Linked DNA regions of Cricetulus griseus. The protein of the gene in region 3 interacts with the protein of the main gene of each other region in a pairwise test. Links are inferred from orthologs where the notes say so. Each region holds a gene or a part of one and is shown on either strand. Other genes may lie near its edges.

Evidence for each region.
Region 1: the proteins of serine/threonine-protein phosphatase 2B catalytic subunit alpha isoform (region 3) and CUNH16orf74 interact in binary tests that used the Homo sapiens proteins (3 or more experiments, as listed by UniProt). The two-hybrid records come from large-scale screens. The link is inferred for Cricetulus griseus from reciprocal best matches to the Homo sapiens genes PPP3CA and C16orf74.
Region 2: the proteins of serine/threonine-protein phosphatase 2B catalytic subunit alpha isoform (region 3) and Akap5 interact in binary tests that used the Homo sapiens proteins (3 or more experiments, as listed by UniProt). The link is inferred for Cricetulus griseus from reciprocal best matches to the Homo sapiens genes PPP3CA and AKAP5.

Annotation. Positions count from the first base shown.
Region 1 is NC_048596.1:197,251,980-197,256,268, forward strand, and holds the start of CUNH16orf74 (uncharacterized protein C16orf74 homolog), read right to left. Parts: upstream 2,832-4,289; coding exon 2,745-2,831; intron 1-2,744.
Region 2 is NC_048598.1:127,161,997-127,166,129, forward strand, and holds the start of Akap5 (A-kinase anchor protein 5), read right to left. Parts: upstream 2,832-4,133; 5' UTR 2,627-2,831; coding exon 578-2,626; 3' UTR 1-577. UniProt on the Homo sapiens protein: Multivalent scaffold protein that anchors the cAMP-dependent protein kinase/PKA to cytoskeletal and/or organelle-associated proteins, targeting the signal carried by cAMP to specific intracellular effectors.
Region 3 is NW_023276806.1:22,889,651-22,893,926, forward strand, and holds the start of serine/threonine-protein phosphatase 2B catalytic subunit alpha isoform, read right to left. Parts: upstream 2,825-4,276; 5' UTR 2,090-2,824; coding exon 2,032-2,089; intron 1-2,031. UniProt on the Homo sapiens protein: Calcium-dependent, calmodulin-stimulated protein phosphatase which plays an essential role in the transduction of intracellular Ca(2+)-mediated signals. Many of the substrates contain a PxIxIT motif and/or a LxVP motif.

The DNA of each region.
Region 1 (4,289 bases), on a different chromosome or scaffold from region 3:
CCCATGTTCTCCTGACCTTTTTGCAACTCCTTCCTCAGAACTCAAGCAATTGATCAATACAAGTGGGAGGTGGGGAAGAGACACAAGTGGGCAATGAGGTCTTCAGTGGACCAATGTCCATCAGAAGTGACTTCACCATCTGGCTCTCACAGGCTTGCAACAGAAAAAAGAAGTCACTATGGTGTGGGCCTGCTCATAGAAGACAGGACCAGCCTGTGTCTAGAGCCACACAAGCCTGGAGCTGCTGAGGGATGGAGTGACAGGCTCCAGGCTGAAGGTAGGATGCCTGGGTCTTATCTGATTCAGTGTGGACCTTCAACTGGCCTGAGCTGGGCCCCTTTACTTTCTTCTTTGGAACCTTGGCTACTTTAGCCATAGTCCTGATTCTAACATCAGCTGTCATGAGTGTATGAATGAATACTAAGCAGGCTGTTGGGCTGGGAGCCCCTCTGGGCATGCTCTCTGCCCAGTCACCTCCCACATGAATGACCCTGCCAAGAGAGCCTGAGTCACAGTGGCACGGTGCCCCAACTCCTTAACAAAGCCCTCCTTTAAGGACCAGGCTGGGCAGGAGCAGTCGGACCATTTGTGTGTGGACCTGAGAGGCTGGAGAAGGCTGGGCAGGGCAAACTGGTACCTTAGCTGTTTCTTAAGCTCCCACACAGACTGCTTCCTGCTTGAAGCATGCTGGGCACACCCACATCTGGGTTTCTTCCTTGCTTAGGAAAGTCACTTTATTTGTGTGACAGGATTAGAATTCTTTCAATTCCAGCCCAGGCAGGCACCATGCTGAGAACAGATGCTGGCCAAGGCCAGACTGCCAACCTGAAAGTCTCAGGGAACCTAGAGAGGCCAACAGCCACCAAGACCCCACCGAGGGCTAGCCCTGAATTCCCACCAGCCTGCTACCTGCTCTGGGCCACTTAGTGGCCCTCATGCCCCACTCTCTTCAAACCATTAGAAACATCTGCTAAACAAAGCCTACAGTGCAAGGGAATGTCCTCATGTTTTCTATAGCAGTTAAGATTGAACATGGAGGGTGAGATGCAGTGAGGGGAAGATGGCTCAGTGGTTAAGAGCATTTATTGCTCTTGCAGACGACCTGGATTCTATTCCCAGCATCCCATGGTAGCTCACAACCAGCTCCACAGGATCCAATGCCCTCCAAGGGCACCAGGCATGTGTATGGGTAGTCATACATGCAAGCAAAACATTCTTACACACAGAAATAAATTGAAAAAGATTTTTTGTTTTCTGAAAGACTGAACACAGGGGCATAGCAGAAATGAGTACTGTGTTCTTGGTGGCTACTATCAGGAAACAAAGGCTGTGTTGGGCCTTGGGAGAATGATGGGTTTCTGTTGAGTGGGCTATCCTCAATCATTCTCTATGGTGGGTCATTTCCCATGATTCTGCAGCCCCCCCCCCAAGATGAGAGCCATTCTCTGTTGCCTCTGGGCTAACACTTGGCCTTATCTACCTTTCTGCCTCAGTTTCCTGCCTTTAAAATGGGGACAAGAGGAGGCGTGGGTTAGAGGGTTGGTGTGAGTGTGAAAACAGCTGGTGCAGGTCTGGCACAGGCCAACTGCTGGCTAAGCACTAACATCTCAGCGTCCTCCTGAGGACGAGTTGATTTTTAAGTCTCTTGAGTGACCTACACCTCCCTAGGGGACACACACTCCTGCCTGGTGTGTGCCCACCAGCTGAGGCCTTCCAGGGACAGATTAGACACAGATTTCCACAGCCTTGGGGCTGGTGGAGGGATTAAGACTTTCCATAAATACACGGCCTCTCTCCTGTGCAGAGGACCTGGACTCGGGGGAGGGGGAACAGGACAGGGCCGGAGGTGGGTATGGCCTACCCAGGACAGTCCACATTGTGGTCTGGGAAGGAAAGGGGTCTGTAAGAGGTGCTCTTAGCTGGTAGCACAACCCAAGACAGGGCCAGGAAGTGTCTCAGGCTGGAGAGAGACAGCAGAGTCTACCACTCAGGAGAAGGCACCTGGGACTCAGTTTCCCTATCTGTAAAACATTTCTATACTCTCTCGGGAATGACTTCTACATTGCTGCTACTGTTCTCTTGGCAAAGGCCAGAAGTCCCTCCTGCCCTCACAGTCCCCCAGGGGAGCTGAGGATCCTCTTTTAAATAAGCGCCCTCCCCAGATCTGCCCGGGCCAGCCCTGCCAGGAGAAGTGCCTGCTTTGCGCGGGTCACCCTTTGCGGTCACCAGGCTGCTTTGATGTACTGGGCGCCCCTAAGCGAGGCAGCTCATCAATAATACATTCGAAACACTTGGTGGAGGGAAGCGGTTCCTCCCGAGGCCTCCTGCCCCCACCTCGCCCGACTGCTCGGCTACTTGACAGCCAAACCCGGTGCATAGAAGGGTCTGAGGCTGCCACGCTCGGGACACGCCCCCGCCCAATGCCAGGCATGCAGCCAAAAGGAACCGAGCTGGGCAGCGAAGTCCGCGGGAAGTTGTGGGACGCCTTGGGACCAAAAGGTGCCCCCATCACTCTTAAGTCTCTACCACCTTGGGGTCTCCACAGCCCCTCCCCCGGCGTCTCCACCCCGCCCTGGGGTACCTACGCTCTAGGGTTCTCCAACCCCGGTCTCCACCGTCCTGGATTTCCACCCACCCCGGAATCCCCACCGTCCCTGGTCTCCATGGCTCTGGGGTCCCCTGTCTTGGGTTCCTCCCAGGTCCGGATGTGTCCGCCGGGGCGCGCACGGCGCACACGCACTCACCGCTTTCTGGAGCGCGCTGGGCGCGGACGCTGGTGGCCGTGCGGGACACCAGGCGACGCGCCTGCAGCCGCGGGCTGCGGGGGTCATGGCCCGGCCTGCTCTCCCCGCGGCGGCGCTAGCCTCAGCCCCCGCCCGGCACCTGGAGGGCGGCGCCGCCCAGGCCGCTCCGCCCCGCAGCCCGCCCTGGGCGCAGTCACAACCCGGGCCGCCGCGCCTCCCGGCCCGCCTCCCCCACCCCAGCCGTCCTCCCTGCACTCGGGAAAGTTTGGACACCGGCAGCTGTCCCTGGTGCTGTGGAGGGAAAGGGGCGCCCGGCTCCGCCTCTCCTGCAGAGACGTAGAAGTTACGCCCCCAGCTCGTCGCTGCGGTTGGAAGGTTCAGGTGGCATTGTGACCCACGGGCTTCCCTGCTGCTGGGTTCTGGCATTTTGACTGGCCACGTGCTTCCTTCTGCCACAGCTGGCAGAGGACCTGAGCGTGCAGACTAAGAGGACTTGGGCTGCCGCCTCTCCACTCCCTACCCCTAGCATCATGGTTTCTTTTGTAGTGTTTGAGATAGGGTCTGTTGTCGCCCACCCAAGCAGCCCTTGAACCCCTGATCCTCTGGCCTCTATCTTCCAAGTGCTGGGCTCAAAAACATGGGCCAGTGCCTAGCCTTCTTTGTGTTTATGTTTTCAGTGCCAGAGATATGACATGGCTTCCCCAATCCCCCTCCTCCACAGGCCCACACACCCACACTCTTCAAGCCCAGGTGTGGCTTTCAGGCCTGTGTCTTAATGGCTTGGGGAGGGGGGTGGCTCCTTGAAGTCCCACTCACCTGCCTAGCTCAGTTCTTTGTCACAAGCCTATAGTGTCACGCCCACTCTTCAAGCTCCAGCTCTCCACACCTGGAGCTATCTTCCAAATGATTACAAGGGGTCCAGGGCAGAAGAGTGGAATACACAGATATTCATGTTCCTACTTTGAGCCATCACTAAAAACTCTAGTGAAGTTACAGGCCCTGGCTTTGTTCAGGCCAAAGTGATACAAAATGGATCATATAGTCTTCAGCATTCCAACAGAAGTGGGCAGGTGGGCAGGATAGTTCCCTGCTCACCTTCCTCAGACAAGGTGGGAGCTGCCCCAGCTTGAACGCCCAGGGAGGTCTTGGTGTGACGTGGGCATTCCTGGGTAAGCACTATGCTCCTGCCTGCCATGCCTGTTTGCAGGCATGAACCAGGATGAACAGAAGTGCTTAGTAGCTGCAGCAGGGCATTTGCTCTTGTCACAGTTCTATAGCACAACATCTCACATCTCACATGTCCCCCGAGCCCTGTTCCTTCACCCAGGGCAGGAAGGGGATGCTTTCACATGTGTGCACATAAATGATGAACATTTGCCTCCTTCATGCCTGACTTTTTTGGGGATCCCTGGTATCTCCCAAGAGCCAAGGTCATGTCCCCTAACGGTATATCACCTCCCATGAGTCCCAACAGGCTACTTTCTGAGCTGCCAACTGCTCTATGTCCACGTTGGACATAGAGCAATGGGGCAGGGTTACTGCAAA
Region 2 (4,133 bases), on a different chromosome or scaffold from region 3:
TTCTGGGCAGAAGGAAGACGGGGAGAGAAGAAAAAGCACTCCCCTGTTTCCACGCTTACACACTTGTTAACTACTCGCCCGGCTGAAGAAACCTGTGAATGGCTTTGTAAGGAACCCGTGAGGGACAAAACACCAGCCCACCTGACTCACCATTAGAAATAACAGGAAAACATACTGTAAAAGAAAAGCAAAGGCAGTGTTCGCCTATATACAGGGTCGAACCATCAGGAAAGACCCAGACTTCACGACATTAGGGAACAGCAAGGAGCACACAGCACACCAAGTGTTCAATAAGTAGTCTTTCTCAACACACTGAACTCATCGTAGGTCATTCTGCACCTTCCTGCATGTCACTGCACCTTGTGATCTATGCTGACTCCCTCCAGTCCAGAAGTGACTGTGTTTCAATGAGTTTTATAAACTTCATTTTTTCTTGAGCACTTCTGGGCTGGAACTTCCCCTCTAAATTCCACAGATGACAAGCCTTTAATTTATTACTGAGAAAGAAGTGCCACAAATGTATAAAAGAACTCATCTTTGAGTTGTTTTCTTCCTTTCCCATGATCTGGAAATGAAGTCACTGTAACAGAGTATTTATTTTATTATCCTCAGACACCATTTCATTAACCAGCTGTTCTACAGACAACTGGATAGCATTGTTGACGAGAGAAGAGGCTGTTTCTATTAAGAGTGTCTCATATTGTTCTGAAGTTCTCCCTTCGAAATCACTATCATTAGCAAAAACCCCTACTTGCTCATTTTCCATTGAAATTAGGAATTGCTTGGGGACATTTTTAGATTTCTTAACATCAAATTCACTGATTTCAGTGTCAGTGATGATAATAGCAATTGGCTCCATTCTTTTGCTTTCTTCTGATCTGGGTTTCTCTGTATCGATTCCATTTTCTTTCAGATCTGGTGCCTGGCTCAGTGCAGCTTCCTCTGTCTGGCTCAGTTTACCTTCCACTACCTGGGCCACGGCGTCTTCCTTTGCCTGGGCCACGGCGTCTTCCTTTGCCTGGGCCACTGCAGTTTCCTCTGCCTGGGCCACGGTGGCTTCCTCTGCTTGGGCCAAGGCAACTTCCTCTGCCTGAGCCACTGAAGCTTCCTCTGTCTGGCTCAGTTTACCTTCCACTGCCTGGGCCACTGCAGTTTCCTCTGCCTGGGCCACAGTGGCTTCCTCTGCTTGGGCCAAGGCAACTTCCTCTGCCTGAGCCACTGAAGCTTCCTCTGCCTGGCTCAGTTTACCTTCCTCTGTCTGGGCCACAGTGGCCACAGCAGCTTCCTCTGCTTGGCTCAGTTTACCTTCCTCTGCCTGGGCCATGGTGGCTTCCTCTGCTTGGGCCAAGGCAACTTCCTCTGCCTGAGCCACTGAAGCTTCCTCTACCTGGGCCACGATGGCCACGGCAGCTTCCTCTGCCTGGCTCAGTTTACCTTTCTCTGTCTGGGCCATGGTGGCTTCCTCTGCTCGACTCAGTTTACCTTCCTCTGTCTGGGCCACGATGGCTTCCTCTGCTCGGGCCAAGGCAACTTCCTCTGCCTGAGCCACTGAAGCTTCCTCTGCCTGGCTCAGTTTACCTTCTTCTGTCTGGGCCATGGCAGCCATGGTACCTTCCTCTGCCTGGGCCATTGCACTCTTGTCTGCCTGGCTGACAGCAGCTTTTTCTGTCTGGCTCAATGTAGTTTCTTTGGCCTGGCCCAGCACAATTTCTCCGGATTTCTTTTCTTCAGCTGTACTCTTTCCACTTCTGTCATCTTTTCTACTTGGTGCACTTTCTTGAATGCCATCCCTGGGTTCTTCCACACTGCGTTGATAGGTGGTTGCTGGTGAGGCAGGAACATCAGAAGCCACTGGACGGGGGCTGTCTGTTTCTGAACTCCCGAGTGGACTTGCTTGCTGCGCTTGTACGCTTGGCTTTTCCTTAATCCCTTTAGTTTCCTTCTCCAGCACTGGAGTTCCCATCTGAATAGCAGAAGCCTCCTTTTCTAATTCCAGTTCTACAGAAATCACATTCTCTCTAGATGTGATGCTGTTGCTGACATGCGATTCTTGGGCCTCCTTACTGTCCACCAACCCACCTTCCTGTGGGCCCTGTATGGACTTAGCTTGGTCAGTTGACTGAGTCTGGGTTTTTGTCTCCAAATCCTCAGCCCCTCCTTGGACTCTGAGGTTGTAGTCTGAATCGTCTGTGAGTTTAGAATGATGACCTCTCTTTGCCCCTCTTGAGAATCTTATGCAAGGAATCTTGAGTCTGGATTTTGCCTTTTTCTTAGGAAGAGCCGAGTCCTCGGGCTGTACTTCAGCCTCAGATGGCTTCTGCTTCTCCGAAGACCCTGACCTTTTCCTGTGTGTGACAAGGCGTTTGATGGAGGCCCAGGCCCCTGCTGGCTGTGGCTGATCAGAAGCCCCAGCTTCTGGGGGATGCTTTTTTGTGGCCTCAGCAGTTTTGGAACCAGATTTAGGTTTCATCTTGTTTGCTTTCTTCCTTCTCTTGAAGCAAAGAGTGGCTGTTTTTCTCTGCTGCCTCTCTTCCTGAGGACTAACAGCTACTGGCCCCTTCTCATCCTTAGTTTCTATCTGAATCTCAGAAACTTTGGTCTCCATTTTTACACTACACTCTTTCATTCTCTGGGAAGTGTCTTCTCTCTTCCTCTTGAAGCCTTTTGTGACAAAAATATCACACCAAGTCCAATTTCTCCTGGGTGCCTGCCCTGCTTTCACTCCACAGTTGTTTCTATAGCTTTTTCAGGACATAACTGCCTTGTTTATCTGTTGCTTATGATTCTTCCTTTATTTTCCCCTTCGAATGAAAGCTCTTTCCTGGATAAAATTCGCCTTTATTCAAAGATCAACCTGATAAGAGAAAAAAGTGGGGTTATATTTCACCACGAGCCTATTATTTTTAATATAACTTACGTTATATGGGGCATATGCCCTGTGGTACATACCAAAACAACCATGGCTTCAAATTGAGGCTTGCTTTTGCCCTATCAAAAAAGCTTCCTGTGTGAACCCATTTTGTTCTATTATTTTTGTTAAAACTTTGTTTGTGGTCACTCTGCAAGAGTGCCCTGGTCCTTAGTTGACTTCTCCATGAATTTTATAGCCCCACATAAAAAGTTTAACAAGCAACAACAACAAAACAACAGACTGCAAGTGATAGGGCAGCGGGACTCCTTTCTCATCACCTTCAGTGAAGAACTATGGCATTGCTAAGGACCTGGGAGATGACTCAAGATTAATCAAGTCCAGCCCAATGACGAAATTGAGCTCCCCAGTGGGTAATGGGCTTGCAGAAAGCCTTAGGCTAGATGAGGTCCTAGCCAGAGTCAGAAGTACAAATTTTGACTCTCTGGTGTTCTTTCTATTGTAGCATACGGTTTCCGTTCTAAAATTGTACATTCCATCAAGGAGGTGCTACTTTCCATACAGACTCTCAGAAAAACCCAGCATTGCTCAGACTGTCGTTCTTCCATCTTAAAGTTGTTGTGTAACTTTGACATTTTCACCGAAGTGTCTGCTACTCACACTTTCCCACTATAACTGCACACAGCTGGAGGTTAGTGAGGTAATAGCCAACACTGGTTGTGCAACTCCTGGGTATGAGGCGGCGCTAAGCACTTTCTCATGCATCTCTAACCTGCACCACAGTATCCCAGAGTGAGGAGGTGGTGAGATCTCCATCTGCAGTTAAGCAGCCTGCCTAAGATTAAAGCTAGTCAGCCTTAGTGCTCAGGTTTAACCTGAGGTGCCTGCTTCTGAAGCCCACCTGCTTCTGAAGCTCGTGATCTGACTTCCATTTGAGGCTGGTTTTGGTGGTGCACCAGGCAACACCAGCATGTGGGAGGTGGAGGCAGGAGAACCAATCAAGGTCATCCACAGCCATATAGTGTATTTGAAGCCAGCACTGGTTACCTGAGACCCTGTCTCAAGAGAAAAGAATATGCAAAGCTAAGCTGTGGGTCTGGGTATATAGCTCAGGGATAGACCGTTGGCCTAGCCACAAGGTCTGAGATTTGATCCCCAGTACCACCAAAAAATAACGATCTACAGAATGGAATGGATTTTAGTTGGTAGACATCCTAAGTTAGGCAAATTATTCTGCTTGCATGGAAATTCTGTACTGTGCTTT
Region 3 (4,276 bases):
ATTTTAAAAAATCCACATTTTGAGATTTAATATGGGGAGTGTGACATTACATGAACACACTACTTTTACTTCACTACCAACACACAGTACCATCTAAGTTGTAAACTATTGCCTTAACTGTTTAGAAAACATGTTATCTTTTGATTGGAGTCACACCTAAATTTCACACATTACAGAGATCTGTTGTTCTCTGGTATTTTACACAAAAGGTCTTAATTTTTAAGCCAACGGAAGTACAACACAGTTCTTTGGAATGGATTTGCATCCAGTGTTTACATAAGGACCCATGCCTGCAGAAAAGATAGTTGTGCCTCTGTAGCTCTATTACCTTTTTTTTTTTTTTTTTGCAGAGCTATTCCTTCTTTATTTTGATGGCTCTATGAATCCTACATTGAAGTAGGATTGATCCCAATGTATCCAAAAGGAGAGATAATGTTTTATTCTCTCATAAAAGAGAACATAACACACACACACACACAGAGAGAGAGAGAGAGAGAGAGAGAGAGAGAGAGAGAGAGAGAGAGAGAGAGAGAGAGAGATTGGGGGGGGCTTGAAAAAACCGAGCAAATGTGAAAGGAGCAAGGATTTTTTTTCCCAAGACTCCAGAGACTATGTATCATGGTCTTTGGGTGCCGGGTTACTTTCACCTAAGTGTTTCTGGAGCAAATGACTTGATTGCTTTGCACTCCAACTGAATGCTCTGGCTGCATAAGACACCAACCATCTCTGTTCATATCTCACACACACACACACACACACACACACACACACACACACACACACACACACACACACACACACTCCACCCCCATCTTTGCTTCCAGTTTCAGAGGCACAGTCTGCACAGGCTGGTGCCCATCTCGGCTTTGCTCAGTACCCTGATCCCAAGAATAAGTGACACTATTTAATCCTTGCGGATCTGCGGTTCCTCCCCTATTCCACGTTGGAATACAGTGAGGATGGTGGGATCCCTTCTCAGCAGGAGTATAGAAAGGGCAACCACGTTGTCCCCTCCCTCACCCTAAGCAGGGTTTCTCCTAGCCAGCAACGCATAGCCATCGCTGCCAGTTGTACACATACATGTCATCCCTGGCAATCAGAGAATCAAGTAGCCCGTTACCAAGGGGGTGTCAGGAGCTTGGGGAAAGGGAGCAGGGTGAGCTTCCCACCCTAGAGTCTCGCACCAGCAGGGAACCCTTTAAGAGCAATGACAGGTCGGCGGCAGCCAGCCATGGGTGACAAGGGAGGTCGACAGAGGACCGCCACCGCTCTCTTTGCTCCAGGCCTGCAGGGAAATCCCGGGGCGGCCAGGGGGTGGGGGTGGGGCGCTCGGGTCGCCCGCCGCCTGGCGCTGCCCCACGCCGCCCCCGCCCCCGCGGCCCCCCGCCCCGCGGCGCGAGGCAGCCGGAGCTGGGCTCCCCCCACGCTCTCCCGCTCTCTCGCGAGTCCTGTGCAGGCCCTTCCCGCGGAGGGGGAGGGGGCGCCCGGGGAACTGCTGCAATGGAGCGCCTGGAGCACCGTGCCCGGGCGAGCCAGTCCGCGGCAAGCCACGGCCACATAAAAATGCCCTATTAATTTTTTAAAAGCCATAAATCACCTCCCCTCCCTCTACAAAGAGCAAGCCATAAACCCGATCCCATGCAAGCCCGCGAGCAGCCACCCACTTCCTATTTCTGTCACAGCAGCTACACCCTGCCAGCAGTCACCCCCCCCCCGGGCGCCCCCTCCCGCCACCGCCCACCCCGCCACCGCCACCCGCCACCGCCTCCCAGGCGCTCAGCCATTTGCCAACTGCTGCCCCCCGTACACACACACACACACACACACACACACACACACACACAAAATGCCCCTGTTGGGGCCGGGTGGGCGGTGTGGGGGCAGGGCGCGGCGGAGGAGGGGGATCGCCGCTTGCAGGAGATCCTAGAAGGTCCCCGGCGCGAGCCGGAGAGGGACAACCGGGGCGGGGGAGGGGCGGCCGGGCGCCTGCGGCACTCGGTGCACCCCGGGCCGCCACGGCGCTGCGCTTACCTTTCACCACCCTGTCGGTCGTCGACAACTTGGGATCAATCGCCTTGGACTCGGACATCTCCAGCCGCCGGGAGGGGGGGACAGCGACGCGCTGCTCGTCCCGTCCGACTGCACACCCCGACCGCACCGGCGGGCCAGACACTCAGCGCCGCCGCCGCCGCCGCCGCCGCCGCCGCGCTGCAAACCGCTCGGCTGGAGCTCCGGGCTCTGGGCTGGCTCGAAAGTTACTGCCGGCTCCGCGCGTCCCTCCTCCGTCGCCGCCGCCTTCACTCCTCCTCCGCCGCCGCCAGCCCCGCCGCCTCGCTCCGGGCTGCGCGTGTGTGCTGGTTATTTATTTATTTTCTGAGCACGCCTCCCGGTTCTTCTTTTATTCTTGGGGACGGGGCGGGGGATGGGGAGGAGAAGCGCACGCGAGCACCCACCCGGGCACCGACACCGAGCGCCGCGCAATGGAGCCCCCACGCGCGCACACGGTCGGGATTAAGACCGATCACATGGGGAGGGCCGGGGGCGAGGGAGGAGAGGCAGGGCCGTGGATGTCAGCGCCGCCAGCCGCGCCTGGCGTCCCGGTGGCGAAGAGGCGGCTGCCGCTGCGGCCGCCGCTGCTTCCCCACGCCGATCGTCGCCGGCCGCCGCCGGGGCCGCGGCCGCCGTGGACGTCCCGCCGCCGCGCTCGCCCGCGATCCCGCTCTGCCTCGCGGCGCCGCTGCTTCTCCACGCACAGGCAACAGCCGCCGAGCTCGGTGGACACAGTCCGGGGCACAACCTCGCCTCCGCCGCCGTGCCGGCCGCCGCCACCACCACCACCGCGCCCGCCTCCGCCTCCTCCCCTTCCTCCCCACCGCCCCCGCCTCCAGCGCCCGGGCCGCCTCCTCCTCGGGGCCCGCCCCCGGGCCCGCCCCCACGCCCTGCTCTCACAAGCTCATAGGCTGCGGCGCGCGCTCCTCACCGCTAAGGCGGTGGTCTGTGCTGCCGTCCCGCCCCCTGCTCTGTTTTCTCCGGGGTGCCACTCGGTCCCGCGGGCCTGCAACCCCCACCGCCCAGTGGCCGCTCAGGTGTCACAGAGGTGGGCAGAGAGGAGGGAGGCTGGGCCGGGAGCACGGGCCGGCAGGAGCTGGGCTGCTGCGTGCCGCCACGCCTGCCCACCCCCCTGGGTCCCCGCGCACACTCCCGGGTGTGTGGTGACGGCTGCCCGTGTGCGAGTGGCCTGCAGGAGTGAGATCGGAGACCCGGGAGGGAGGAAGGAGGAGTGCCCAGCGCTCGGGGCCGCGGCGCAGCTGCTGTCGCTGCCGCAGCTGTCCAGGGAGGATCGCCAGGACGGCGACGAGTAAACAGCTTACCTTGGGGAGGCGGCTCTGCCTGGGTTTAGGTGGACGCGGGTTACTTACTGTTGGTGCGGTGGTTAGAATGCGAGCACAACTTCACGGGAAGAGGGGGTTTCTGGCCAAAGTGTGTTTCGGGCGCTGCGGGACGTGGTGGCTTGGTTATCCAGGAAGGATGGGGACGGACTGGAGCCTGTGCGAACCAGGCAATGCTCAGTGACCCAGGATGCCCTCGTGTCTCCTAGGAGATAAGAGGAGTCGGGAAAACTCAAGAGAGGTCGCCTTTTCCTTGTTCACACGTGTACGCAGTCACTGGTGGAGATAGGTGACATTAAAAGTCTTGCTCCTTTCACTTAGTCACTTGGTGCTCAAGGTAGGTGCAGGGCCTTGAGAATTTTCACAAGTCCGGTGTAAAAAGGAAAGTAGGAGAATGGGGTACTGGTGGCGCTGATCATTCCTTTCAAGGGGCTCTGGCTTAAGAAAGTGTCTCTCTGCAGCAGGTCGTCTGGACACAGCCTTCTTTCTCCCTGGCCTTTCCAAGGACCTGCAAGGAAATTATGAAGAAGGCTGAATAAATTTATAACCCTCGTCCTTCCTGGGCTTTTTTTTTTTTTTTTTCAAATTCCTTCAATGTCATGGTTTTCCTAGTTCCTGAATTGGACTGTGGGCCCAATAAAAGGCCGAATAAGCGTTTTTAGGAAGCTAGGAGATGGAGCCAGGAGAACTGTTTTGGCGACAGGGATTAGATTAAACTCCAATCCGGAAAAAAAAAAAATAAGTTTTAATAGCAGACTGGTGGCGCATGACGCTGGAGTGTGTGGCTTCATGGAATTCTAGCAGACACTATAAAGAGCAACCCTGTAGAGGCCTGCTAGATTAAGGACGAGATAGAGTGGGTGGGGGCATCCACCAGCAAAGGGAGG